7 linked regions of the Oryza sativa Japonica Group genome follow. The main gene of each other region encodes a partner of the protein of the gene in region 6 in a complex. Links are inferred from orthologs where the notes say so. Each region holds a gene or a part of one and is shown on either strand. Other genes may lie near its edges. The genes, in order: large ribosomal subunit protein uL13c; large ribosomal subunit protein bL34c; large ribosomal subunit protein uL29c; 50S ribosomal protein L24, chloroplastic; uncharacterized protein; large ribosomal subunit protein bL21c; large ribosomal subunit protein uL3c.

Region 1 (4,514 bases), on a different chromosome or scaffold from region 6:
CCTCTGTTCAATTGAACTTCAATCTATGTTCTCGCAATTACTTTCTTCCTTGAAAAAACTACCTGTTTAGATTCCACCTTAAAATTTTTTATTCTGTAACATCAAACGTTTGAACACCTACATGAAGTATTAAATATAGGCTAAAATAACTAATTTTACATATTGCGACTAATTTACGAGATGGATCTTTTAAGCCTAATTGCTCCATAATTTAGCAATATTGTGCTACAGTAAACATTTGTTATTGATGGATTAATTAGACTTAATAAATTTATCTCACGATTTACTGACGGATTCTGTAATTAGTTTTTTTTATTAGTAACCGAACACCCTATGCGACACTCTATATAATATCCGATGTGATACGTCGAAACTTTACACCTCTGGATCTAAACAACCCCGTAGATGAAAATTTGATACCACCTAATATAAATCTGGATAACCTCCTAATCATTATTTTTAGGTGGTATCAGATCTTCATCTAAATTGGCTTTTTTTTTACAGAATGAGTACATGGTACAATAGGTGTTACTTGAGCACACGATTGGTACTGTCAACTTTTTCGTTATATGGAAGATAAACACGGACGTGCAATTAATTAACAGATCTACATCAACTATTAAGAGAATTTAGAAACACCTGATGCCCATTGAAAAAAGAGAACACTTTTGCCCCCAAACAATGACACATCAAGCTCATCTCAGGTCAAAATTGCACTACTCAATTGGATATGGAAATATCGGATTGCTTAAAATCGTACGGTATTAGGTACATGATATGTAATCAACAAGAACTATGACTTAGAAACACAAACTTTTGGAGGAAGTAAATTACAAAAAATTTTACACTCCATTCCCCAAACAGACAGATGCATCACATTCCAAAGATTGGACAAAATCTCGAGGGGAGGAATTTACGTGAGATTGTTGTGTCTTTCTTAGTCTCCACAGGAATTATCTACTTCTCAGACTTCTGTATTCTTTTATCCTTGATAGGCAGTGGAACAGGTTTTTGAGCCTCATGGGGATGTTCTGCTCCCTTGTACACCTTGAGGTGGGTAAACAGTCTTCTTCCCAGCTGCAAAATGTTCAAAATGTTGAGAAGGCTACATAGAGCACGTACAACCGCTGTAGTTGGTCGGATTACATGTGTCAGTGTCACTAACATATGAGAACTTGAGAGGTTGACATAGTAAACGTTTTTTTTTTTTATAAATGAACTTAGGCATAAGTAAAAGGCTTTAGGCAATCATAAGATGTCTTACAGGCAACATAGGAGTTTTGGGAGAATACATCTAGTACTTCGTTAGCCCACGCCGTTTCGGCATTCAATTAGAGCGAATATTTCCATGAACAGGGTATATAAAGTTGGGGAATTATACACAATAATGAAGTATAATGGAACAGAACGAGGATACCCATTTTCAGATATGTATTAGAAATTGACCAAAAATAAGGATAAGAGCATATGTATACCCAGGTAGGCTGACTTAAGGTCAAAAAGACTTGATGAAACTGACTAGATAAGAGCTCTAAGAGATGATGTCTTACTCTGCCCTTAGGAAGCATGCCACGCACTGCATGTTCAATAATTCTCTCCGGAATCCTTTTCTGAAGCTGATCAAAAGTTTCTTCTTTCATTCCACCAGGCCGTCCAGAGTGCCTCCTGTAGAGCTTCTGTGACCGCTTTTTGCCAGAAACAGCAACCTTCTCTGCATTAACCTATGTGAACATAGAGTTCAGCATGGTAGTTCAGGAACTTACAATAGTATATGCGTAGCAATTACTCTTCAGAGATGCATTAGTATTAAAAGCACACAGTAACATAAATATATATACATGAAATCAGCTTCAAAATGCCTTCAGGTGGACCTCAGCTTCCAGATACCTTTTGGTGCTTATTTGTATGTGCTGCTAAACCTCTTTTCCTTTTGTGGGACTACAGAGGATCTTATTGTGTGCACTATTTAACTTTATAAATTAATTTCAAGAAACATACATACCACAACAACAAAAGCCCCCATGTCCACACTTGGAGTGTATGTGGCCTCATTCTTTCCTCTGATGTGTACTGCAATGGTGGATGCAAGCCTACCTAGAATCTTGTCTGTTGCATCAACAACATACCATGTCTTCTCAGTAGTTACATGATCTGCAGCCTTAGGGTACCATGTTGTGTTCCATATGTCCTGCAAATTAAATTCCTTGGTCCGATCACTACACAGAACAGGTTGCACAGAAAAGAGAGAAAGAACACAAGAATGGTATCCGTACTGAATTCTAACTTCACAAACCTAAACATCCACAGATAAAAAGATATGGTAGTCATGTAGGTGCGAACACTGTTGAGTAATACAACACAATGTTAGCGACCAATTCAGAAAGACCAACGTTCCCTCCATGTTATTTTCAGTTCATTTTATGGAATCCTCTTTCGTAATAAATTACAACTAGATAACTTTAAATAAAATAAGATGGTGGTCTATACGGTATAGTAACATGTAAAAACATTGTGTATTTTCCCTAACATTATTCATGTAAAGAAAGGATTTGACCCAATAGAGCAAGATGAAGTGACTTACGGATTTAGAAATGAATGGGACTAATCTTGAGCTTTCCTAAATAAGCGGCAATCCTAAATCACGGTAAAATTTCCCTTTATCCAAGGAATGTAGCATTACTATTCATTTTCTGAACTGAGAAAGAGAAGAATGTATACGGGAGAGAGAAAGAGAGGTGAGGGTTAGTACGGGGCCGCAGAGCTCGTCGCCTTCGAACATGAATCGCTGCTCGCGGGGGACGAGCGCGGAGAGCGGCTGCCTCTTCTGCTTCTCGCTCTGCTCGCACCGCACCGACAGGCCCCCCGCGGCGGCGCGGCGGGTCGCGGGCCTCGCCGCGCGCCGCTGGCGGGGGAGCGGCCTGTCCCTGGCGAAGGCGGAGGAGAGGAACGCGGAGGCTGCGATGGCCGTAGCCATTGCGACGGCGGCGCGGTGAGGAGGACGCGGCTGCGGCGAAGTCTTGTCCGTCTGGCTTGGCCTGGTTCAGTGGAACGCCACTGCCATTTCGTTTCGGGGAGGCGAGGTGGAGAGAGCAGAGCGGATAAGAAGGGGATAGGGGGGGAGAGGGAGCCAGAAGGGGAAGAGGAAGAGATGGGCCTTTTGCTTAGCTGGGCTTTGCAGCCCACAGATGCATCAAAGCTAGAGAAACGCGTAGAAATTCCGATATGTTAAATGGGATAATTGCTTATTTAACCCTATTTTAAAGGCCAACTACTAAATTGATCTTATTTTTTTAGGTTTGTTTATTTGACCCTGTTATTTGAAATTGAAGTTTCCATTTGACCTGTTTTGCTTTCACCGGTAGAACATCACTTAGAAAAAAGAAAAAAAAAATACTACCCTAAAGTGACCAAAATACCCCCGTGTTACAAATTAACCCTAGGATTCCCATTCCATTCCCCAGCTCTTCGTCCCAATCCCCACCTCGCCGGTGACGGGGAGAGCTGCCGCCGACCGGGCTGGAGGGAGAGGCGGCGGCGGCGTTGGCGGCGCATCGAGGGAGCGGTGGCGGCGGCCGCGCGAGGAGGGAGAGGGAGCGGCGGCGGCGGCGGCGGCGTTGGCCGCGCGTAGAGGGAGCGGTAGCGGCGGCCGCGCGAGGAGGGAGAGGGAGCGGCGGCGGTGGCGGCGTTGGCCGCGCGTAGAGGGAGAGGGAGTGGCGGCCGCGCGAGGAAGGAGAGGGAGCGGCGGCGGCGTTGGCCGCGCGAGGAGGGAGAGGGAGTGGCGGCCGCGCGAGGAAGGAGAGGGAGCGGCGAGCGGCGGCGGCGGCCGCGCGAGGAGGGAAGGAGTAGCGGCGTCGGCGCGCAGGAGGAGGGAGCGGCGGCGGCGGCGGCTGCCGTGCTCGAAGCGGAGAGATTGAGCGGCGGCGGGGCTGCTGCCGCACGGAGGGTGGAGGAGGGGCAGCAGCGCCGGCTGTTGCCGCGCGGAGGGGCGGCGCCGCCGGCTGCCGTCGTGCGTCGTGTGGAACGAGAGACGGAGGATAACTTGTGGTTGGATTTGTTGATGGATTTGGATACGAATTTATTGTTGGATTTGGATCTGATTTGCTGTTGGACAATATGCTTTGCTGTTGGACAATATGCTGTCAAATTTGTGTAAAATTCTGTTAAATTGAAGACAAATCTGTCTCAGATCTGTAAAAGCCATGAAAATCATTGCAAATATTTAAAAAGTCCCGATGAAGAAAAAACTTTGATATAATATGGTAAATGAGCAGGGGCAAAACGGACAATTTCCCTCTTAGTTAACACCGTTATCTACCCTTCACAAAATAGGGTCATCTCTGATCTTCAATTTTAAAAAGCATGGTCAAATGAGCAAACCTAGAAAAGTAAGGTCAAATTGATAGTTAGACATCAAAATAGGGTCAAATGAGTAATTGCCCCATGTTAAATTGTCCACACACACAAGCAAGTCAGCACTACAGGTGATATAGGATCATATACCCAAAATTAGGCTA
Region 2 (3,997 bases), on a different chromosome or scaffold from region 6:
TGAGCCTCTTCATCTCCAGAAACCACTTGCTATCTCTCGCCCAGAGTTCCTCAAACGCATCTAGGTAATGCACACTGCTGTACTTTGCCTTCAGCGCATCCAACAAGACCACGTTGATGCCCTCTCCCGCAACATACACCTGCCTTCCTCCTCCATTGAGTCTCTCCTCAATCCTTCTTCTGAGGTTCCCATCATTGCCACCAACATGAACAGAGTCAAAATCTACTTGCATCCTTGATATGATACCATCAACAATGTCCATCAAGCTTGGCGCCGTGCGTATTGCTCCCTGCGGTGGACGGAGGACATGCTCAGCTTCGCCCTCGCACACATTGTACCAATAATTCCCTGGCTCCACGTCCCCAAATTTCCTAACGATCAGGGGATCCCTCGACTTGGAGAACTTGGTGGGCGCAACCCTGCTGTCCTCGATGATGCGGACTCCAAGCTGACCCTGTGCTCCCCACTTGTCCCAATCCTCCCAGAACCGCTTGTGTTCAACGATCCCGACCACGGATTGCAGGTGCTCAATGTCAATATAGAAGGCGAGGCGCTTGCCCTCCTCGGGCATGCCCCCGGCGTAGGCGGCGGCGAGACAGACGCTGAGATCGAGGACGAGGGTGCGGTTGAGGTAGCGGGCCTCGGCGATGGAGCAGAGGAGACTACGAAGATAATGCGGCATGGGCTTGCACCGGTCGCCGCCGCCAAGGTAAGAGAGGTACTTGCCCGCGGCGAACTGGGAGCGCGAGAGCGCGGGTGGGGGCGGCGGGGCGGTGGCGTTGGTCCCGCCGCGGCGGGGCTTGCGGGCGAGGGGGCCGGAGTGGTATTCCCCGATGGAGGTAACGGAGTAGGCGCAGGTGACGGGGTCGCGGGCGACGGAGAAGCGGCGGTAGTCCTTGTAGTTGGCGGAGGCGGTGGATCGGGCGCGCCAGGCCATGTCGCAGGAGGACGACGGCGGGTCGCCGGGGACGGGGCGGCCGAAGCGGTTGAAGTGGACGTCGGGGAAGGCGTCGATGGCGCGGCGCATCATGAGGTGGAAGAGCTGCGGGTCGGCGCAGTCGAGCGTGGAGGTGGTGTCGCAGCTGGCCTGATCCTGCTGCTCCAGGTGGGACGTGGTGGGCGTCAAGGCGGCGGTGGGAGGGGAGAGGGAGATGGGGAGGTTGCGGAGGGTGAGGAAGAGGAAGGCGACGAGCAAGAGGGCGGCGGCGGCGTGGGCGGAGGAGGTGATGAGGGCGCCCCGCCCCAGCAACGGCCGGCTCGGGTCCATCCGGCGACGGCGACGGCCGACGGCGATGAGATCTGGTGGCTGATTGTGTAATAAAGCCCCGTCTGCAGGCGGCGGACGGTGGTGAACTTGTTTCTAGGAAGACGACGAACTGTTCCTCTTAATGGGCCTAACATGAGTGGGCCTAAGACGAAGGCCCATGATTTGGCCCAAGAATCGCATCTCGTCGTGGATAAGACGATAAAGCAACATTGTGTGGGGATAGCCATAGCCCTGCACCGCACCTCGACTCCCCAAACATGGCGCTCGCCCTCGTCTCGCCAATGGCGGCTCTCTCACTCCACTCCGGGAGGATCTCAGCGGCGGCTATCGGCGGCGGCCTCCGCTCTCGCAGGGCATCCCCGATGGGCGCCGCCGCCACCCCGTTCCTCCGGAGCTCCTTCGTCTCCTCCTCCTCCACGTCATCCGCCTCCGCCTCCCCCGCCGCGCTCTCTGCCGCGGTCTCGGCGTCGCTGACCTTCACCTCTGCCTCCTCATTTGCTGGTGAGAATGTGTACTTTACTCGTTCCTGATTCGCTTCGTTCTGTTGCTACCATTTGGGTTGGGGAACTAGATGGAGGAGAGAGTTGCCTGCAAAGAGAAAGGGAGGAATGAACTTTTGTGCTGCTGGTTTCGGCTTTAAGTACTGTACAATGGAGTGTTTATACTGTCAGATAGGTAGCGTGTACAGTTAATCAGTGCTTAATGTCAGAAGATAACTAAACTAAACTAGCGATTTTAATGCAATTGATATATTTGAAAGTTCTGATGGTATTCTGGCAATTTCCTGAGAAATCTTAAATTCAAACTCTGCCGTACTTGTTAGCTGCTGTACGCAGCTTGTTATAATCTGCAATGTCTGATCCTAAAGCCCACGCATTCTTATAGTTAACCATGTGCTAGAGAATTTTGCTTAAGATGTGGATTCCGATTAAGATTAAAAAAAATCACTTGTTTACACATCCAGTTTTTTAGTGTAAGAACGTGTATATATATTCATAATTCAGTGATTAGTTCTAGATGGTTCCATGTTAGGAAACCTACACGGCTGAAAGTTTCTTTTCTTCCTCCATGTACTGTGATACTGATATTGTGATTTCCAGTAGTGCCAGATGGACTGTAGATTGTAGTACATTCTTGCGACAGAATCATGAAAACATCACAAAAACTCAGGAAACTCCACTTTTTGGAGCGAGCGCATGAGCTTAATTTAGTAAACTCATTATGAAATATATCATCTAACATAATTATACTACGAACTAACGAAATCACTGAATCAAGAACGTTTAACTGGACAACTCAACTTTTTAAACAGTTCAGTTACAATTAATAGCCTTGCCACCTAAAGCAAAACCAAAATGCTCCTAAAACAAGCCAATAACGTTAGATTAAAGGAACTATTGCAATGATATTATCCTTTTGGAAAATGAACTGTACTTTACATACTAGAGTTTTTTTCCAAATGATCTTAGAGAACAAAAACACAAACTAAGGGCAATCAAATAGCCGGTTTCTGTGCTGTACTGTTGTATTTAGCAAATCCATGTTCTTATGTATCAAACCATATTTGTTCCAACCTACAAATGATTTCAGTATCCTAATATGTTACATATTTCAGGTTCATCTTTGGGAATTGAATTCAGCTACAACAGAGTTACAACAGGAAGATCCCGGATTCTGCAGATTAGGGCTGGAAAGGCTGCTCTGTGCATGACCAAGAGAAATAGATCTAGGAAGTCGCTTGCCCGTACACATGGTTTTCGCAGACGGATGAGGACTACTGCCGGAAGAAAGGTCCTGAAGCGCAGACGCGCCAAAGGAAGAAGGGTTCTCTGCACAAAGACGAACTCCCCCACTGGGAAGAAACGAATGTTCTGATTGAATCGCATTCTAAGTCGCTCTTTGTCACAATTGTAAGTGTATTTTTTTATCCCACGTTCTCGGTTATACTCAACCATAACAATTGGTGCAAATCCTTCACCCGGTGTCCGGTTAATGTGTGAAGTACATTATCAACACAAATTCAAGTTAGCCTTTTTGCTTGTGCAGTATTTAGTAGTTGTTTGCTGTGGGAATATGTTCTCCTTGATCTGCATTGCCATGGTTTTCCTCTGATCTATCTTGACTGCATTCTGAGCATAGATTTTGCCAAAGGGCCTAAATGCTAACTTGAGCAGTTGCTCAAATAAACTCATCAATTTTTCTATTCTGTAGTAGAACGTCCCTTTTATTTTCTGATACAGTCCAGTGAATTTTAATATTCAGATCATCTCATCATAGTCACTCCATGCTCCACTGTGTAACACAATTTATCCACCTCCTCTGTGCCAATCTCTTTGGTACACACTTATTTGTAAAACAACCTGATTGCCCATCCAATCCTCTGTCACCTTATAATTTTGCTACTATCAGGCGAAAAAATGGATAATATCCAGAACTCAACCTGGAATAAATGAAAGGCAACAAGTAGCAAAGAGAACATTTACATTCTAACAAACTGAATCCCTCCTCTTCTTCACTCGCATCGGCAAGCCGCCTTCCATCCTCAAGGTCACCGAGAACACAAGCCCTGGCCGTCCCTCGCCGCCGACGAACCTGAAGCTGAACCTCTCGAACACGCACGCCGCGATGGACTTCATCTGTATGTATGCCATCTCCTTGCCGAGGCACATCCTCGGCCCGCCGTGGAACACCGGGTACTTGAACGGGCTCTCCGGCCGGAACACGCCGTCC
Region 3 (3,865 bases), about 23 Mb from region 6:
TGAGACTTTCAACAAAAGAATTGCATGGATGCTATTTCCACTTGTTGGCATTTATCTTCAAACAATCACCAACTCAGTACTCTGCTCACTAAACAATTAGCTAAAAAAAGAGGAAGACAATAGTTGACTAAAAGATTACCTTGTGAGTGAAGCCTCTCTACATCTCAAGTTAAGATCTGTTGAAGAGATCAGAATAACAAGTTTTGGCTGAAGGGCCAAGCCACCTGGGCTTGCTTATGAAACTGATGATGGATCTAGGATGGCTCCCTAGCTCTGTGCAGAGATACCTGCAGCATACTCTAAAGCTAGAGTAGAAGGGGAAAGCCCAACATGCTTTAGGACAGTCTAACAGAGCTAGTTTAAGCATAAATCAGTGTTGAACAATAACATAAATCTAGGTGACCGACACAACAAGCCACAAGAACGTGGGCTTGGAGACAGTTGTACAGTTTTGAAACGTTTGATAAAACAGTGAACTTGAGTTTGGAGCAAAGCAGGGCACCAAAATTCCAAGCGAACTATTATAGACATGGCCTAATTCTCTTGTTTTTGTTACTCCGTATTCCAGAGACACTTCTTTAGAACTCTGCATATCTGCCTCTTATAGTATGTACGTACCCACAACTTTGTGACAGGTGAATTTGAATAGGCAGTTTGAGTTTCAACAAGTGTATAGCATACACTCGTTAAGCACAGTTTCATATATCAGTAATATAAGTGCATATATGGACAACACATTTTGAATAAACTGAAATTTACACAAATGGAATTGGTAATAGAACTTTTGGTTTTGACAGCAAGGACTTGGAAATCAGTTAATGTGAATTACATATCAATCCATTATAAGGAATGAAACCACAGGGAGAAAGAAACCTTCCTTCAAGACATGCATGAAATGACTTCTACAGACTGTCTGCTTTTGTGGCTCTCTATTCCTCCTTGTTCTCCCTTAGAGATGGTGGTGGTCTAACCACGATGCTTTGCTTCCATTTCCTGTCAAGCTTCCTAGACAATCTCTTGTTGATTCCTTGTTCAATTTCCCGTTCTCTTTTGACAGTCAGCATACGAGCAATCTGATGCGAAGATGACAACCCAAGTCAATGCTAAATTTAGATAGTAGAAAGCTGCTATTGAAGCAAGATGAGCAGGGTGAGAAAAACAACAGGAAAAAAAAATCTGATATCCTCCTCCTAAAAGGCAAGAAGCATTGATCGAGGCAGATATAAGTATGCATTACTCTGCTGCTAACTATTTGTCCTGTGCTGTCCCTGAGCAGAGGTGGAGACCTGAACTCCAAAGCAAGTGATAATTCATAACAATTGACTTATCAGAAGCCCTCAAGAAGAACAAGGTATCACATAACTGACCGTAGAATTAGTTCTTGTGTACTATCTGCATTTTGACGTCCTCAGAACAAAGTTTTGTTCCATTTTAAATTTTGGTCCACTGAAGGTTAATTTAACACTACTTTCCCAAGAACAGTATAAAAGCTCTTCAGATACACATTGCATTGCAATATCATTCTTCATGTAGTACTCTATGCACTAAAATCCAATAAACAATACTACAAACCCAAAGTAGATACTATGTAAGAATACGTAAATGGATGTCAGCATGACTTTCTAATCAAATTAAGTAAAAAAAAATTGCTTCTGAGACTGAAATTGTCCAAGCATTAACCCAAATCATCTGTAAATTCAGTATGGGCCAATATGCAACTGATAAAAATCAGGCAAAATTCCACCAACAAATTGGTAAGTTATTCCACTATTCTGAACCTGAAATCAACTCAATATATCTGAACATAATCAACTCAGTACTAGAGGTTGAACAAAAGGGCCTTGTAAACAGAACACACTGAGCAGAACATGCGACCACTCCACACCCATTTGGAAGTAGAAGGTGGAATTTCCACTCGTAGGTTGAACGCATTTTGGCCAGGAGTAAATGCTAAACTTTCGCAATGGAATTAGCAGTTGTGGTATATCTGTACCCCATGGAGTAAGAGACATACCCTCTTGCGCATGCGGCCGAACTCGCTGGATTTGAACTCCTGGCGCGCGGAGCGCTTGAGGCGGAGCATGAAGAGCTCCCCCTTCAGGTCCACCACTTCCTCCTCGATCTTCTCCGTCGGCATGGCCCGAATCTCCTCCAGCTCCTGCTCCCTCTTCGCCATCCTGGCCACGGCCGCGTCGCCCCTCCCCGCTGGCAGCCGCGGCGGCGCCGCCGCCGCCGCCAGTCCCGGGAACGGCGCCAGCGACGCCCCTCCGGTCAGGAGGCCGAGGAAGGCCGTGCGGGGAGTGGAGACGGCGAGCCCACGGGGAGTCGAGGCGAGGGGGGACGCCGCGGCGAGGGACATCGTCGCCATCTTTTGCGCTGCGCTCGCGTCTGCGCTCTCTGCCGGTCGGGGTTCGTGGATAAGGGGGTTTATCTGGTCATGTTGATTAGCCACTCGGGGCACGAATCTTCAAGCATTATCGGACGGCTTTCACTTGCTTAATATGCATGTCACATCTCTAAATATCGAAATCTACGCGGATTCGCGTGCAAATAACCCCTCCACGTGGCGCTGCACGATTCCAGCTTTCGTCTCCCTCTCGCAGCCGTCAGATCACAGATCAACGGTGTGGAATAGCTGCGGTGGACCTCGTTGTAATATGTGAGGTTTTAGGGGTCTTTTTGAAAAAGTTATACCAAACCTGCAATGCCCTTCTCTCCGCCGGCGCCCCCGCCCCCGCTTCCTCCGCCTCATTCGTCGGAGGTCGACTTGTCCTCCTACGCCGATGTCGCCGCCTCTTCCTCCTCCCCGCGCTCCAGCTCCACCTCCGCCCCTCCGACGCCCTAGGCTGACCCTCCCACGCGCCAGCGCGCCGTTCTGTGCCGTCTTTCCCCTCAAGTTCGGCGGCGGTGGCATAGATCCACCTCGTCGCTGGATGGGGCGATGAGTTCGGTTGCCGTGCTTGGGGATGGGGAGGAGGAAATCACATGCATCGCTACGTCCGTCTTCGCTTCTGCCTTTTGATTCGCCGACCGCCTCTCTCCCCAAGTCGCGGCACCAAGGGGATCTCGGACGGAGGCCACTGGCCGTGCAACAAAGGGCGTGGCTGAGGACCGTGCTACCGCCGCCGGATGCCGTCATGCAGGAGCGGGAGCTCCCTCCCCTGCTTCCCTACGGGTTCACAGTTTCACACCACAGCTGATTAATTCCACCTGTAATTAAGAAAAAAGAAGGAATTTCTTTTGTTGTTTTCGTTGATTTTTGCGTGTTACACGATGCTACTGAATAATGCTCAGATTGGCACCAAGGAATGAATGAGTTGCCAAAAATTAACTGTCACATTGTAACATGTTTTGTCTTTGTCTGAAATCTGAAGAGTTGGCCTTTCTTGACTTACAGTACGAGGGTGGTGCAGCTGAGGGTAGCAGAAGACCAAGCATCTGGAACACCTTCACACATCAGCACCAAGGCATGTTAACTACATCTCTGTTCACCTTTGCCTGCTTAAGCTGTGCTCTGTACAGAATTATGTTAATCAAGTTCAATTAAGTGTATTTGTATATCTACAAGTATAAAATTTGTCCTATTTAGCAACCAGAAACACTTCAACGATGTAAAGCAGAAATTAACAAGCTGAATACACAATGACAGAAAGGTATGCAGAATCAAGAAGCATATGGATTGTGCATCAAGTCTGACTGTTGCACTCCTTTTTTGAGAGAGAGAGATTTGATCTTTCACTGTGAGCGTAAATGCGTAATGGTATATTAAGTCCTACTACCATTTTACTCTCTTTTTTTTTCATGTTGCTTTCTCTGTGAACACAGCAATATATCAAGTTATAACTGCTTTACTCAATTTGTTTTC
Region 4 (4,325 bases), on a different chromosome or scaffold from region 6:
GTGACCTTGATGGGTTGCATCTTCGTCTCATGGGATCTGGACAGGTGTCAGGTTTCCCTCGCGGAGCAAAACGCAAGCAGAAAACTGTGGTTTGCTTACGATCACCTGGATTTGATATTTGCGTGCCATATCTGCTATGTTGATTCTCAGCCGTCAGCACGAGCTCTTGAGCTTTCATGTTATCAATGGCAAATCAGATTTGTTTTTTCCTTTTTCTGACTATAATCTTTTAGCACTATATATTTGTATTTTTTTTCCTACTATATCAATAGAAACATCGCTATCTTTTAGCACTATATATTTGTATTTTTTTCCTACTATATCAATAGAAACATCGCTGCGGGTTGTTTCAAAAAAAAAATTGCTAAGCTTGTTTCTTTTATGATACTCCTATCTTACTACTCCTTAAAAAAAAGAACTTATCAATCATTCATGGGTTTTATATGTACATCTCATCTATATTTCTATATGGAAATGGACCAAATTAGTCAATGGTTGCGAATAATAGCTCAGGACAGGGGACAGCAACAACATTACAAAATCATTTGTATGAGCGAATGTAGCTGAACCATTCTAGTAGCTGGTTAACAAGCCAAGCATGTCATTGGATACAAAAAAATGTTGGCAACTGTATAGAAATTTACAAGACTCTGAAATCTGAATCTAGAAAAGCATCAACTCATTTGGGCATACAAAAAGTGCAGTTCAGAAAATGTGCAGGACTCCCATGCTACCATGATCACTCCGAACTTCCTTCCTTGAACACCTTGACCCAATTCTCAGCACTGTCAATTATTTCACCAGTCTTGACCAGGTACCGAACCTTCGTTCCATCCTCAAGGAATTTGTGTCCAACCCTACTCGCCACATTCTTTTCCTTTGAGTAGAGCATCACATTTGAGCTGTGAATGGGGCCTTCAATCTGATCAAAGAAAACACCAACAACCATAGGTTAACGATCAGGCATCTGAAACTATATATACGACACTAGCTAGAAGCAGCACAGAAAGAAGTTTCAAGAGAAACAATGCTGACCATGACGATTTCACCCGGTTCATCTTCTGTTCCTTTCTTGTGCTTGGACTTCAAGTTCAAGTCCTTCACTATTACAGTGCTGTTGTGCTTAAAAAGCCGCGTAACTTCTCCAACTTTACCTTTCTCACGGCCTGCAATGACTTGTACTGTATCGCCAATCCTAACATGCATCTTGTGCAGGACAGGAAGACTGTTTGGTTTACACTTCTTCCTCTCCCATCGCTTAAGCTGCATTGGAAAAAGGGAAATTTCAGACATTTGAGTAAATAGCAAGCTGCAGACCAAAAAAGAATTGAAACTTACCCTCATTTGAATTGGGCATGTCTTGATCATAAATTTAACCTGCATATAAAAATTTATGCATATCTTGTCAGAGTTTCTTATGAAAATGACATAAAATGTAATAATCAGCTGCTTTTGAGATATGACATGAATCATGCTCACGATGTTTCTTAGGCAAGAATATCTAGGATAATCATATGATCTTTTAGTACGAGTTTCTTCATATAAGTGCAGATTTTAGTACAGTTCATCATATAAGTGCCATATATAGCTCAGTCACTCCATTCAAGAGCAATTATTCGGCCTTATTTTCTCTCATCACCACTTTCCAGGTAAGTAATTAGTCGTGAGTGAGTCTCATTCTGAGGACGAAGTGCAGTAGACTATCTAGAAGAGCTAAGGAACGCCAAAAAGAATATACAAAAGATAGAACAAGTTCAGTCTGATAAGTATACCGAGTGTGCCAATCATTTGCTACAGGCTATCCCCGAGTGAAATGAGTTTCCATCATTTTCCCATGGAAGTCTTCTGTGAAATTTCTACTGTTGAGTAATTTAAAGTTCAAAGGCAAAATTGTTTCTAGCCAGCGAAATGTGATCTATACAGCAGGTTAGAACAAGAAATGGTCTGTCTCACTAGAGGGCACATCTTTCAGAAAAATAATCCTCTGCTTGAAAGGCTGAATATTGGGTATCCATCGCTTATACCACCATAGGAAAAAAATAATATTCAAGTTTAAACTGAAACATAACAGGCCACATCCCATGGTAGACAACACAATTTCTAACTTCTGAATTCACTCAGTTGATATACTCAAACTTGAGATTTCAAGCATTCATTAATTCATATAAACCCTCCTTATACTAGCCAACTAGGTTCAACTATACCACAAAATCCTTGAGACCTTTTCTCTAAAAAAAATATACCACAAAATTTTGACACAACGTTGGTTGTTGGCTAGTTGAGGTCCTGAGCCTGAACTCCTGAAGGCAACAACAGTACAGTGAGGCGATGTAGACATCACCATTGCAATGCCACGCTGTTGGTGAGCTCTAAAATCCTAAATCTCAGTGCAAGCTGGCATTTCTACTTTTCCAGCGAATCATAAGAGCAGAGCAAACATAAAGGAATGCGAAAAATGAGAATCAGGGTTGGGAGTCGGCACAAACCCCAGCCGGCGCGGCGGCGAAGGTGGAGAGCGGGTGGCCCCAGAAGCTGCTGGTGCTCGCCGCCCCCGGCGCAGAGATGGAGAGGGACGCCATCGCGCCCTGCAACGCCGCCACCCCGGCCATCTTCGTCTCCTCCCCTCCTCTTCCTCCCTCGCTCGCTCAAACCGCAGAGAAGCAGCAGAGGATAACGAACGCCTTCGTGTGCTCGCGGACAGGATAATGGCGAGCGCTTTTCTACATGACAAATGGGCCTCTAGGCCGAATGGATTGGCCCACTTGTAAGACTCATAAAGGCCTAATGAAAGGCCTATCGTAATCCAGCCCAACTACAACGGACCTTACGGCCCAAGTCAGCCGCGATCCCGTTCAGGCTCAAATATAGCGGGCCTCACGTAAGCCGCAATCCCGTCTCGACCCAACAAGAACAGGTCGCACCTACACAGATAAAATCTATTGTACATTTCTCATCTCTGCTCCTGATTGAATTACCTCCCTCAACCGCAAAATGGAGGAAAATCGGTCTTATTGTTTGGTTATGCTTATATTTATGAGCCAAAATTTGAATTTGAGAACTTAGTTTTGAATTTGCTTTTTTGTTTTTTTAAAATGCTTATATTTTACAACATTTGCTTTAAGTTATTATGGACATATATAAACATTTTACTCATAAATAAATTTTTATTTGCTAATAAACGATTCGAATAAGCGAAAACCGTAGCAGATCAACCCTTAGATGGTTTGTAGGGTGGTTCCTGTTGACGTGGCAGGCTGACTCGCAGAGAACATGAGGGAGGCAAAATAGACTTACTATCACGCACGTCAGCAATCCGGTTAAGGCCCAAATGTCGTGGGCCGCTCGTCGTCCGCAATCCCGTTTGTGGTCAAGTAACGTGGGCCGAACGTCCTGGGTTGATATGGGCCGACACCCGTTTTCGGATAAGGCCCAGCCCAGCATACGCTCGTCGTCTTCCTCGTTGCGTTGCGTGGCTTCGTCTCCACACGCATCATCACCACGCCACGCGCCGCGAGATGCTGCTTCGGCGGGGGCGCCCAGGCGTGGCGCCTCCCGGATTCCGGCGGCTTCGACGTCGCCGGCGACGCGCGCAAGCCAAGCGACAGTTGCGGAGGCAAGCAACCCCCCAAGTTCCGTCCCTTTTGCGCTTTTCTGGGACCCATTTCCTCTCTCTTTTGGGGGGCGCTTTCGCGGTGACGACGCTGCCGATGCGCGTACGCCTGAGGAGTTCTTCCCCATCACGCCGCGTGGGGGATCGGGACGTCGCCATTTCCGCTGCCGTTTTCTTCTCTTTGGGGGGTTGCAATCTCGCGTTTCATTTGATAGGGTTGGGCGTGGGCGGTGGGGAATGGGGATGGGTAGGTAGATGGCACCGATGTGAATCGGACGACTTCGAATCGAAGCCTTCCGATCCATGTGAGGAGGTTGAGGAACCAACCTAATTTCGAATCGAAGAACTCTTGGTTTCTCTACCTAAAACCAAATAGCATAGTGACAGTGGTCGTTATACTATGAATTCCAAGCTTTTTGACCGAAGATTTCGAATCATCGAGCATCTTTGGCCAAGCTATTCTAACACGGTTGACTCAGAAGTCTACGTTTCTATGCATTGTGTATTTGAGTGTTAGTTACTATATTTCGTGATAAACAAAACTGTTGACTCAAAAGTCTACGTTTATATGCATTGTGTATTTGTGTGTTACTGTATTTAGTGATAAACCTTAGGTGTACATGTGAGGGATTTCATGGATAACACGTGCACTACATTCTTGCCTGTTCCACTGGTCACCATCAGCAAATCGCTCCTGTCCCTTTCGTGTGGCTAT
Region 5 (2,816 bases), on a different chromosome or scaffold from region 6:
ATAACTGTAGATTCATTGGCCGCGGCACGTGGGGCTCCACCGGCAAGGAAGATGACGGTTCTAGACGCCGCTCCCCTCCAGTGCGGGGATTAGGCTTAGCGCTCCCCTCCATCTTTCACCGGCGGCGTGGGGTCTGTGACCGCCACTCCCCTCCAACGCATGGGTTGGGCTCGGCGCTTCCCTCCACCTTCCACCAGCGATGCAGGGTTCATGACCGTCACTCCCCTCCAGCTCCACCTCCCTTCATTGGGTATTAAGCTTGCAATCGTCACCGGATTGGCAACGCCCTCATCGAAGAAGCTCTCTCCGTGCAGTCGTCGACGAGCCTGAGAACCGCCAGATTTTCGCCTGAGTTGAAGAAGAAACTGATCTGCGTTGTGCGGTGTTGAGCTAACAGAGGTATTGACAGTTGTTGTAACGGAGTGGCATAGCTCAAATTTTGCAAAATTTCAGTGGCATGAACCTGATATCGTGAATAGTAATGGCAAATTGGTAAACTTGCAATAACATGATCCAATTAACCCATATCTTTGGGGAGGCTAATGCGCACGTACGTGCTAGCAATTTAGCTGGCGCCCGCGTCAGTTGGCCCCCTCCCCTGTTCCCGCGTGCTTTTCTTTCTCACTTTTTTTTTACGATTTTGGCGCCTGGATCCGGGTGCGTTTTTCTTTTTTTTCGCCATTTCTTTCTATTTTTTTAATCTTTCGCACACCCCTTTACAAATGTAGAGTTGAAAGTTTTAAATTTTGACTTCAAAGTTTTTAAATTTGACTTGAAAGTTTTCAAATCTGAGTTGAAAGTTTTAAATTTGAGTTGAATTTTTTCAATTTGAGATGAAAAGTTGAAAGTTTTCAAAATTTGACTTTAAAAAAAATTCAAATTTCGAGTTGAAAGTTTTCAAATATGGGTTGAAAGTTTTCAGAATTTGACTTGATGTATAAATTTCTTTTCAATCTGTTACTTTAAAAAATTTTCGGAAAAAACAAATCTTATCTTGATTATCTAAAACTAATGTATTTTTTTACACGCTAAAACTAATGGACTAGTTACTACATGCGCTATGGAAAGAATCTAACCGCGCCCGTGCGGTGCCGTGCATACGCGTGGGCCAGAAGTGCGCGCCCGCGGCGCGTATGCGAGAATTAGGAATTCTGCATATTTTTACCACGTAAACGAAATAATTGCATACATTTTTTTTTCTGGGCCAGTAAGTAACCAACGTGTATCAGCCCAAACCAAACAACAATTAAGAAAGCCCAGCCAAAGCGAGGCAGGCGAGCGGCCACCCGCACGGCACCAAAGCCTCAAAAATTGAGAATCATCAACGCTTGAGAGGATAACACACACCAGAAACCGATAAGGGACACGAAACAGGGGAATCCGGAGCAAAGTGCGACGCGAGCGCGCGAGGAAGCAGCAGCCATGGCGCTCTCCCTCTCCACCTCCTTCCTCCCGACCCAAGCCGCCGCGGCGGCCACGAGGACCACCCTCCGCTCCCTCGTCCCCTCCCAGGTACGATTCCTTCGATGCCCCCACAACCGCGTAGGCGTAGCGCCGCCGAATCGGAGATTCGGAGGAGGTGATTGGAACTGGGCGGTGGTGTGACGATTTGCCGTGCAGAGGATGCGGTGCTCGATGCGGAAGAAGGGGCTGCACCCGGAGATCTACGAGGACGCGAAGGTGTACTGCAACGGGGAGCTGGTGCTGGTGACGGGGGGAACCAAGCCGGAGTACACGGTGGACGTGTGGTCGGGGAACCACCCCTACTACGTCGGCGACACGTCGGCGATGGTCGTCATGGACAGCCAGATCGAGAAGTTCCGCAAGAAGTGGGGCCACATCAAGGAGTACTGGCCCGAGGACCAGTGGAGGGAGATGCACCCCGACGGCGACCCGGAGTTCGACCCGGAGGAGGAGGGATCCGCCGGCGCCAGCTGAGCCCCCGCTTCGCCTCTCGCCTCCGCCGCCGGCCTCGCCGGTGCGGTTTCTCTTGGTTGATTTTGGGAATTGCGTAAAATGGATTAGCTCCTCTTGCTTGCGCCTCTCGTTACACGTGCATTCGCATTGCTCTCTAGGTGTTCGATCGGTGTTCTCAGTGGATACGTGTGATCATATTTGTGGTATCGAACTGTTTGTTCTCTGCCTGTACTCTTTGACATCGATATAAAATGGAGATATTGCAATTTGCACACTCTGTAATTGGACATTTCCAACTCGTTGAATCGATGCATGCTAGTGTTGGTCTGGGCTCTCGAATAGAATCGTTGCATACATCAGTTTGTCCGGTCTTCAGAATAAGCAGTAAGGGGCTGTTAGTTCACGTACTAACATTGCTAAGGTTTACCATGTTTTCTCGCTAAAGTTGAGGCCATCAAAATCCAAGCCACGCTCTAGCCAATAAAGGCTATGTTTAGTTCCCAAAAACTTTTCGCAAAAACATCACATCGAATCTTTGGACACATATACGAAGCATTAAATATAGATAAAAAAAATTAATTACACAGTTTACATGTAAATCGCGAGACGAATCTTTTGAGTCTAATTAGTCTATGATTAGCCATAAGTGCTACGGTAACCCACATGTGCTAATGACGGCTTGATTAGGCTCAAAAGATTCGTCTCGTGGTTTCCAGTAACCCACATGTGCTAATGATGGCTTAATTAGGCTCAAAAGATTCGTCTCGTGGTTTCTAGGCGAGTTATGAAATTAGTTTTTTTTTATTCGTGTCCGAAAACCCCTTCTAACATCTGGTCAAACGTCCGATGTGACACCCAAAAATTTTCATTTCACCAACTAAACAGGCCCAAAATAAAAG
Region 6 (4,170 bases):
TATATCAAGAAAATTGGCTAGCATATAACAAATTAGTGTGATTATATTTAGTTTATGAACCTTTACAGTGGTCAAATTTTTACTTCAACAAGGGTTTCAATTAGGCAAAAGATGTCTGAAAACCACTATAATTCAGAACTGTAATATGCAATTAGGGGTGAAGGACTACTGAAACAGTCATAGTTTGCCAAAAGATTATACGCCTTATGCCACTGGTTATCTTTGGTAAGGATTCAAAAGGGCAAAACTTCTGCAGTTCTTCATGAACCAAGGTTCTAAAAAGTGGTAAGCAGAATCCATGCAGCCACCTGCCTTGTAGATGCTTATATGGCCTAAGTCCTAACCAGCTGCTTATGTGCCCTAAGCAGTACAAGGTTGCACACAAACACCTTATATATGGCCTTGCAGAACTTCTCTTAGAACACTCGAATAAATCATGACCAGAACTGCATTGAACATAGTACTGTAACTGATCCCAAAATATTAGGACATAGCCCGTTCAATAAACTAAGCACCATTGGTACAGATGCCAAAAACAGTGAAATTAGCATCAGTAGTCACAAAAACTGTATAAAGTTACACAAACCAAAGCTAAAACATCCGTATCGTGGTAAAATGCTCTCTCTTTTTTTAAGCACAGTGAAAATAATACAGTTGGCTAGGATACACAATATCAGAATGAACAAAACAGATGGTGGAATAAACAAAGGATGGAACAACTGGATGACTGGCAGCACTCGAACACATGAACAAAGCAAATTTTGTTCAAAAACTGTTCTTCCAGACAAGAAAAGGTAGCACTCGTATTCTAATGTACTACCAGTTGTTTGTAACTACAGAACTTACAATTGCTCTTAAGCTGGAACATACTCAAGTATCGGGTCAGCAGGGAAGTCCTCGTATCCACTTATGCCGGTAATTCTTAACCTTGTGTTTGGCTGCAAAACAACAGAGATTTTTAATCTAAAAGAACTCTAATTGCTTCGCTGTAAAAACTGAATCAGTATTTATCAATAAAATTCTACCTTTCTTGAAGAAGGTAATTGGAAAAACTTACCTGTCTGTGACCAAGTTTCCTCTGGTACTTCTTCTTCTTCTTATATTTGAAGACTATCACTTTATCATCCCGTCCCTGATATAAAAATATTGGGGAGACATCAGGGTCAAGTAATTTTGAATATCCATGATTAACCCGACAACATACAGAGGACATACCTGTTCCTCAACCACTGCATGAACAGCAGCATTGGTCACCACTGGCATGCCAATGTAAGCCTTGTCTCTAGTTGATACCAGTAATACCTTGTTTAATATTATCTGCACATCAGCATTATCCAGAAGTGAGAATTTCTGGGAAAACAATACTAAAAATGCCAGCAACATAAGCCAACGTATGGGTCCTATGGGATTGGAAGCTTTGCATCAGAGGAGTAATTTTAGTTAGAAAAGGAACGAAGCTAATATATGCAGGCTACACAAAACTTATCGAAAAGTTCTGAATAAGATATTTATGTGAAATCAGGAACTGGGATTGAAGTGTTATAATTACAGGGAAGTGACTCTTTTACTTCTAAAATGAAGTAGGTCACTACCACTTTCCATAATTTCAGAATGTACAACCTTCCTCGTTGTTTTGAAGTTTGTTATTGCATCTCATGGATGAAAAAGAATAATAACCAAATAACCAATACTATATATTTGCCTTTTCCTAATTTACAATCACCTTATCTAGAAGCCACCTCAGCATCATATACCTTTTAAATTTATGGATTAATACAAACCAACTAACTAGCAAAAATAGGCCAAATTTCTAGTTAGGGTGTAACAAGTATCCTCCTGCATCCTCTAAAGTGGAAGCACCAGACCTGATCATTGACATTGGCGCCTTTCAGCCTCTGCGTGTATATATACCTTCCAGGCATCACAATGTACTGTCTCGACCCAATCTGCGACAGAAGAAAAATAATCAAAATAGCTCCCTCGTTATTATTCACAGCGCTCATACAAAACAAAACACAGAGAAACCCTCCTCAGATGCACTCCTGCATATTTCAGAAATGCATCCGAACAATTCTCTGTAAGACTAGTATTGTATCATTCGAAAACACTGTAATTCTCTGCGCCGTTTTCTTAATGGTGTGTCCTGTACATACTAATAATCGGCGTGCGCGCATTCCTATTGGCGCGTGAATCCTAAGCTTCTTATGCAGCATAGAGTAAGCAACACAAGCCTGAAATCAAATGCTCACTTCACCGCAAGAAGCAACGCAACTAGCGCCAAATGCCTGTGTAATGATATTATTTAAAGAATTCGAGGTAATGTAGCATGAACAAATGTGATTCTTTTTTTGTTTGTTTGCAGTGAGCCGAGCAGGACTAAATCTGAAATATTGGCGGCAAGGGCAAGCTAGCCCCACCATGACAACGGCGAAGATGTCGGCGTCCTTCCCGGCGCCCGCGGCTGCGATCTGCGCCTCCACAGGCTCCGGCACCGCAGCCTCCTCTTCTTCAACCTCCTCCTCCTCTACCACCTCCGCCTCGGCCTCGGCCTCCACGGGTGCGGGCGCCGGCTCCTCGGCGGAAGCGAGGAGCCGCCAGCAGCGGCGGGGCGCGGACGCGGCGACGGGGAGGGAGCATCGCGAGGCCGGGAGGGACGGGGCGGAGGGGAAGGCTAGGGTTTTGGAGGCGAGGAGGCGGAGGGGCAGCGTCGCGGTGGCCATGGCCGGCGCGCGGGGGGGAAGAGCAGTGTGGATGAGAGTGTGGGCTATCGTATCGGAAAGAAAGAAGAGGGATAATATTGTGGATAGGGAGGTTACCCTGAGCCGTTCGATTGGAGATCAACGGCTCAGATTAGATACCCATGAAAAACATGAAACTATGCCCTACTAGTTTTTTAGCGATACTGCACGTACTCATTTTGTTTCTCCTTTCTAAAGTTTAGAATCGTTTGATTTAATCAGTTAAAGATTATAAAAGAGTTGGATCGAATGTGTTGATTAGACCATAAAGAATATGCGAATTAACACGAGTGATGAGAACTCTCGTGAACTCTCGGACGAAAGAGCCAAACTGAACTACTACGCCTCCTCGACCCCTCTTCCTCACAGGCTCGGGTGACCTTGCCGCCGGCGAGGTGAGGGAGAGAAGTCCGACAAACTCTCTCTTTGTAGGTCAATCAATTTAGTTGGGTTTTTCTTTTAGTTTGAGCGTGAAGGTCGGCGATGTTGGCCTTCTAGTCCTAGGTTTCATGGAGAAGGCAATCGAAGTTTCTTCTCTAGTGGTATCCCTCTAAAACACCGGGTAATTCTCTATCACCGTGAGTTAGGAGAAAGCTAGACCTAGTTAAGGGAAGTTAGGCAAGTTATCTTTCTTTTCTCCAGCAGGCTTTTCGCAAGGATGATAGTTTTCTTCCTCTTTATTGGTGGCAAACCTTCAAGAAGCAGTTGAGTTTTGTTTGCTATATGCTTGGATTCCTCAACCTTAGGCTATGGAGGCCCTAATAAGGTAAGCTTCTTGGTGCTTTTTTATGCAACTTGCCATGAAATCTTTGTCTCTATCACCAATATCAACGATTAGGTTGTCGACCTTGATGGTTCTGCTCCAAGAACAATCTCATTTAGCTCTGGATGTACTCATCTATGGTATTGATGAACCTTTTCATGAATTGTCATGGCCTTAACCTCTATTGTTGTGAAACCCTATTTGGGAATGCGTCAAGGCAACATCTTCTGTAGCTCGCCGTGTCCATGTAGCACCCACTGCCATCAAGTATGTCACCAGTCACCACCAATGTGGGCATAAGACAGAGGAGGACCTGATTGTTGTTTTTTTTTTCAAATCTTGTTGAGTCCTCCTTTGCTTATATTTTGACCTAGCCATCTTAAAGAGACTATCTTCCGTACTCCCAGTTCTATCAACAATGAACATTGACATGTTCAGTAGTCACATTTCTATGGCATTGCTTCGACTGTGTAGCCGTAGCCAATGCAAGGTATAGCGCACTATTGCTTGGCCTGTTGCTATATGCTGCAGCCCATGCAAGCGCATCAAAGGCTATCAAACAACATTGATAAACTGTGAGACTGTTATCTAAGTTTGTCTTTAAAAACAAGAGTACAAAGGACAACCTTTTTATTATTTGCAATGATAAGTTTTCTAAATTATTAAGAA
Region 7 (3,874 bases), about 7.1 Mb from region 6:
AGTATGTTGCTTCGTTTTGCATGCGAAGGGGGTTTTCAATCCCTCCAGAAGAACATATGCTAAGTAAAGCAATATTTTGTTATATATAAGTGATCAGGTAGAGCGAAGGGCATAGAAAACAATAAAGATATAGCAAAATGTGAATTGTGAAAATACTAGTGATGGAGCGCAAGATTTGTGTTTTTGAATCTCACTCGCGTAGAAGGCAATGGATTTCTCTCGTTGCTTTCAATTCTTGAACAACGTTATTGGTTCGATAGAATTTGAAGTGTTCAATCACTATTTTGTAGTGAGCTATTCTGAACTGTGTTAGTGCAATGAAGGTCATCGAGAGTGCAAGTGGCTAACCTACAAAAACCCACTTATATACTAAAACAAACCATCTGTACCAAACTCAGTTCCCATTGATATCTTCCCACCTGGTGCACAGGGGCACCGTGCTAAGGTACAATTGATCTAGGTAAAAACACTTGACTTTAAGTAAGGACACTGGATAGCACGTTATCTAAAATAAAACTCGGTAAAGTTATATGGTCTCAATGGCAAAGCTAGCAGCATACTTAAACCTGGGAGACAAGGAACGTTTACTAGTGATCCATAAATTTTCGGTATTGCTAAAAATATGTCGCTACAAATTACGATGGATTTCAGTCGGTTGTTTCAACCGTCAGATGCGGATGCAGAAATCATCGCAGTGTACGCATATCCCTCCGATTCTGTTCTCTTCTGATCTCTTCTGTTGTTTTAATGTTATTTGCTAATTAGGATTACTAATTAGTCTTAAAAACTAAATATCCGTGTCATCACAAATTTATAGTTTTGGGAATTACATCAACTTACACATGTAATTTTGAGAATTGCATATGTAATTTTAGTACTTACATATGTAATTTTGGAATTTACATTGTAAATACACTAAAATTATATATGTAATTTAGGGACTTGCAATGTAAATACATGCCGACTATTTTTTTGGTGAAAAATACGGCGCTATAAATATATATATAGTTACTCCCTAAATTTTTACATGTGCTATCAATGGAGAATAGTAGCAACATCAGCGGCGGAGTCTGTACGGTCGCCCGACCTGCCCAGGAGGTAGCTCCGCCTGTCTAGCCTAACCTGTAATTTATTATGCACCCGTGGTATTTTGCAACTGTTACGGAATCCACCTCCCCGGCAAAGAAAGCGTATTCCTAAAAAGCGCCTCTCTGCAGGCGGGAGGATAAGGGGGCATTAGCCGCAAACCCCAATCCAATCGAATTCAACACGAAAAACAACCAAAGCAGCAAGCGAAGCCGGGACACTGCTGGAGTGAGCAAATCCCCGCTCGAATCCGGGGCACCAAGAATGGCCATGGCGGCCGTGGGCATCGGCGGCGGCGGCGGCGGCGCGCTGGGCCTCCTCGCGCCGCGCCGCCGCGCCGCCTCCTGGAGCGGCGCAGGTGGCGCGGCTGCGGCGGCGGCGCGGCGGCGGCCGCTGGTGGCGGTGGTGCGCGCGTCGTACGAGGCCGGGGTCGGGGTGATGGCGACCAAGGTCGGGATGATGACCTACTTCGACCCGGCCACCGGCAAGCCGGTGCCGGTGACCGTCGTGGGGTTCCGGGAGGGCGGCAACGTGGTGACGCAGGTGAAGACGGCGGCCACCGACGGGTACGACGCCGTGCAGGTGGGGTACCACGGCGTCCGCGAGGAGAAGCTCACCCGCCCGGAGCTCGGCCACCTCGGCAAGGCCGGCGCGCCGCCGCTCCGCCACCTGCAGGAGTTCCGCCTCCAGTCCGTCGACGGGTACGACCCCGGCCAGCCGCTCGACTTCGCCGACATGTTCAAGGAGGGCGACCTCGTCGACATCTCCGGCAAGTCCATCGGCAAGGGGTTCCAAGGTCAGTAAACTTGATTATTTTTTTTTACTCCCTTTTCACAATGTGACTACCATTTCGCCCTGTCTGAATTTGAACAATGCTTTACATTGTGAGGAAGACTTGAGAACAAGCTTGAAATTTTGCTGTATCAAATTTACCATATGCTCACCAATGTTAGTGTACAGAATTGTTCTTGGGAAGAATCATTTAGCCTCTTCTCTTGATTAGCGTCCTAGACTTGCACAATGGCATTGCCAATATGGCAATGTCAATGCTGTTCTTGGAGTTGCAGACCTGTACCATGTCAACACATTCGTTATAGTTCACAATTTATTGCAACCATCAGCATCACTTGTATAATTTTCATGAAGTGAATATAACATCGTAAACCCGTTGCAATTGCGCTCTTGATTTGCTGCGACCAACGATTTGCCAATACCGCAAACATTATCCATTTCATGTATATTCTTCCCAAACAACATAATAAAAAAGACACAAATATTAGAGAAGGACCTAATATCAAATAATTAGAATGGGTGAGGCTTCGAACCCAGGTCGTCTAGCCTACCACCTTGTGGAGCTAGTTGGAAGACCCCTGGGTGTTTCTCCCCAAACAACATAATCGTTTATAGCATTCTCATGAAGTCAAGAGCACCAATATCTCTTTTAGTTCCTGATCATCTAATGGCAATATGGCATAATTGTGCAACTATGCTCTCAATTTGCGACTGACGGTTCTTGGACATCGACACAGGTGGCATCAAGAGGCACAACTTCAAGCGAGGGCTGATGACCCACGGCTCCAAGAGCCACAGAGCTCTGGGATCGATCGGTGCCGGGACGACGCCGGGTCGGGTGTACAAGGGGAAGAAGATGCCCGGGAGGATGGGAGGAACCAAGACCAAGATCAGGAAGCTCAAGATCGTCAAGATCGACAACGACCTGAAAGTTGTCATGATCAAGGGCGCCGTTCCAGGGAAGCCCGGGAACCTCCTCCGCATCGCTCCTGCCAAGATCGTCGGCAAGAACATCCCCAAGAACTAGACTATTTTTCTCATGTGTTTCGTCCTGTTCTGTGAGATTTGTGATCTGTTGTTTACTGAATTACTGTAAATTGGAGATGTTCTTTGCCCATGTCCAGGTTTTGTATACGCGTAACTTTGAATTTCGTAAAGCTAATTTTTTTTCTACTCAATCTTATCGATCTCCCGTTCTCAGTTCACACTCTCTTTGGACTAGAAGCTAACAGAATCTTAATCATCTTGTGCTTGGATGTCAAATTTGCAATCACTGTTTATTCTGTGTTCAGGGAATGGAAACATGTAATGGTAGACGGTAGTGTAACAAACACATCTTGAGAATCAAACTTCACCAAGCGTCAACAATCTGACAGTTTTACCAACTTCTCCAATACTGAATTATTGTAAACTCTCATGTCTGAACAACCGAAGAGTGCAGAGCGCGACATGGCCAACCGCAGCAAGTGCAACAGAGGGAAAATGTTAACTAAGCATCATGTACAAACTACACATCAAGTGCAACAGCACGAAATGTCAATGTAAAGCTTCCAGTCACCATTAACGCTAACTTCTACAATATCTTCAGCAATGACACAGGGACAATAGGTTTCTTGCATCAGTCAATGCGACACATTATTAGGCCATGAAATATTCTCACACAAGTCACCGAAGCTGGTAGTCCAACAGAACAAGACCTAAAACTGACGAAGCAATAGTTTCCATGAAATTAGCTGAGTTCCATGGCCACGAATATAGACTCACTTGCCCAAACTACTATGTACAAAGTTATGCATCACTGCTCAACCTGCACATACATAGAGATCGATGAATCAAGTTAGAAGAGTTAAACCAGTAGCATATAGATAACACCCTATTTTGCTATTCAAGAATAGAAAAAGAGAGGGCATGCTCTAAGCAAACCCCCCATCTTCATCCCCTTGCCACACACCACCACCATATTCACAGGCTGATGGCACCATCATCAGGTTTTTAA

What was found.
Region 1: large ribosomal subunit protein bL21c (region 6) and large ribosomal subunit protein uL13c share a complex: the UniProt entries of both Arabidopsis thaliana proteins name them as parts of the 50S ribosomal subunit. The link is inferred for Oryza sativa Japonica Group from reciprocal best matches to the Arabidopsis thaliana genes RPL21C and emb1473.
Region 2: large ribosomal subunit protein bL21c (region 6) and large ribosomal subunit protein bL34c share a complex: the UniProt entries of both Arabidopsis thaliana proteins name them as parts of the 50S ribosomal subunit. The link is inferred for Oryza sativa Japonica Group from reciprocal best matches to the Arabidopsis thaliana genes RPL21C and AT1G29070.
Region 3: large ribosomal subunit protein bL21c (region 6) and large ribosomal subunit protein uL29c share a complex: the UniProt entries of both Arabidopsis thaliana proteins name them as parts of the 50S ribosomal subunit. The link is inferred for Oryza sativa Japonica Group from reciprocal best matches to the Arabidopsis thaliana genes RPL21C and AT5G65220.
Region 4: large ribosomal subunit protein bL21c (region 6) and 50S ribosomal protein L24, chloroplastic share a complex: the UniProt entries of both Arabidopsis thaliana proteins name them as parts of the 50S ribosomal subunit. The link is inferred for Oryza sativa Japonica Group from reciprocal best matches to the Arabidopsis thaliana genes RPL21C and RPL24.
Region 5: large ribosomal subunit protein bL21c (region 6) and uncharacterized protein share a complex: the UniProt entries of both Arabidopsis thaliana proteins name them as parts of the 50S ribosomal subunit. The link is inferred for Oryza sativa Japonica Group from reciprocal best matches to the Arabidopsis thaliana genes RPL21C and emb2184.
Region 7: large ribosomal subunit protein bL21c (region 6) and large ribosomal subunit protein uL3c share a complex: the UniProt entries of both Arabidopsis thaliana proteins name them as parts of the 50S ribosomal subunit. The link is inferred for Oryza sativa Japonica Group from reciprocal best matches to the Arabidopsis thaliana genes RPL21C and AT2G43030.

The regions. Positions count from the first base shown.
Region 1 is NC_089035.1:31,965,700-31,970,213, reverse strand, and holds large ribosomal subunit protein uL13c, read right to left. Parts: upstream 3,070-4,514; 5' UTR 2,975-3,069; coding exon 2,750-2,974; intron 2,189-2,749; coding exon 2,003-2,188; intron 1,722-2,002; coding exon 1,551-1,721; intron 1,078-1,550; coding exon 958-1,077; 3' UTR 725-957; downstream 1-724.
Region 2 is NC_089035.1:34,740,006-34,744,002, reverse strand, and holds large ribosomal subunit protein bL34c, read left to right. Parts: upstream 1-1,500; 5' UTR 1,501-1,524; coding exon 1,525-1,768; intron 1,769-2,881; exon of another isoform or gene 2,882-2,882; coding exon 2,883-3,142; 3' UTR 3,143-3,315; downstream 3,316-3,997. Other genes in the region: uncharacterized protein, read right to left, coding at 1-1,267. UniProt on the Arabidopsis thaliana protein: This protein binds directly to 23S ribosomal RNA.
Region 3 is NC_089036.1:32,213,590-32,217,454, reverse strand, and holds large ribosomal subunit protein uL29c, read right to left. Parts: upstream 2,400-3,865; 5' UTR 2,369-2,399; coding exon 2,015-2,368; intron 1,074-2,014; coding exon 930-1,073; 3' UTR 654-929; downstream 1-653.
Region 4 is NC_089040.1:29,338,644-29,342,968, forward strand, and holds 50S ribosomal protein L24, chloroplastic, read right to left. Parts: upstream 2,690-4,325; 5' UTR 2,610-2,689; coding exon 2,487-2,609; intron 1,378-2,486; coding exon 1,339-1,377; intron 1,264-1,338; coding exon 1,036-1,263; intron 923-1,035; coding exon 740-922; 3' UTR 518-739; downstream 1-517. UniProt on the Arabidopsis thaliana protein: One of two assembly initiator proteins, it binds directly to the 5'-end of the 23S rRNA, where it nucleates assembly of the 50S subunit. Required for optimal plastid performance in terms of photosynthesis and growth.
Region 5 is NC_089035.1:25,929,379-25,932,194, reverse strand, and holds uncharacterized protein, read left to right. Parts: upstream 1-1,338; 5' UTR 1,339-1,422; coding exon 1,423-1,512; intron 1,513-1,620; coding exon 1,621-1,938; 3' UTR 1,939-2,199; downstream 2,200-2,816. UniProt on the Arabidopsis thaliana protein: Binds the 23S rRNA.
Region 6 is NC_089036.1:9,030,749-9,034,918, forward strand, and holds large ribosomal subunit protein bL21c, read right to left. Parts: upstream 2,767-4,170; 5' UTR 2,721-2,766; coding exon 2,418-2,720; intron 1,947-2,417; coding exon 1,866-1,946; intron 1,318-1,865; coding exon 1,216-1,317; intron 1,133-1,215; coding exon 1,058-1,132; intron 939-1,057; coding exon 855-938; 3' UTR 609-854; downstream 1-608. UniProt on the Arabidopsis thaliana protein: This protein binds to 23S ribosomal RNA in the presence of protein L20.
Region 7 is NC_089036.1:1,979,764-1,983,637, reverse strand, and holds large ribosomal subunit protein uL3c, read left to right. Parts: upstream 1-1,256; 5' UTR 1,257-1,350; coding exon 1,351-1,882; intron 1,883-2,615; coding exon 2,616-2,905; 3' UTR 2,906-3,056; downstream 3,057-3,874. UniProt on the Arabidopsis thaliana protein: One of the primary rRNA binding proteins, it binds directly near the 3'-end of the 23S rRNA, where it nucleates assembly of the 50S subunit.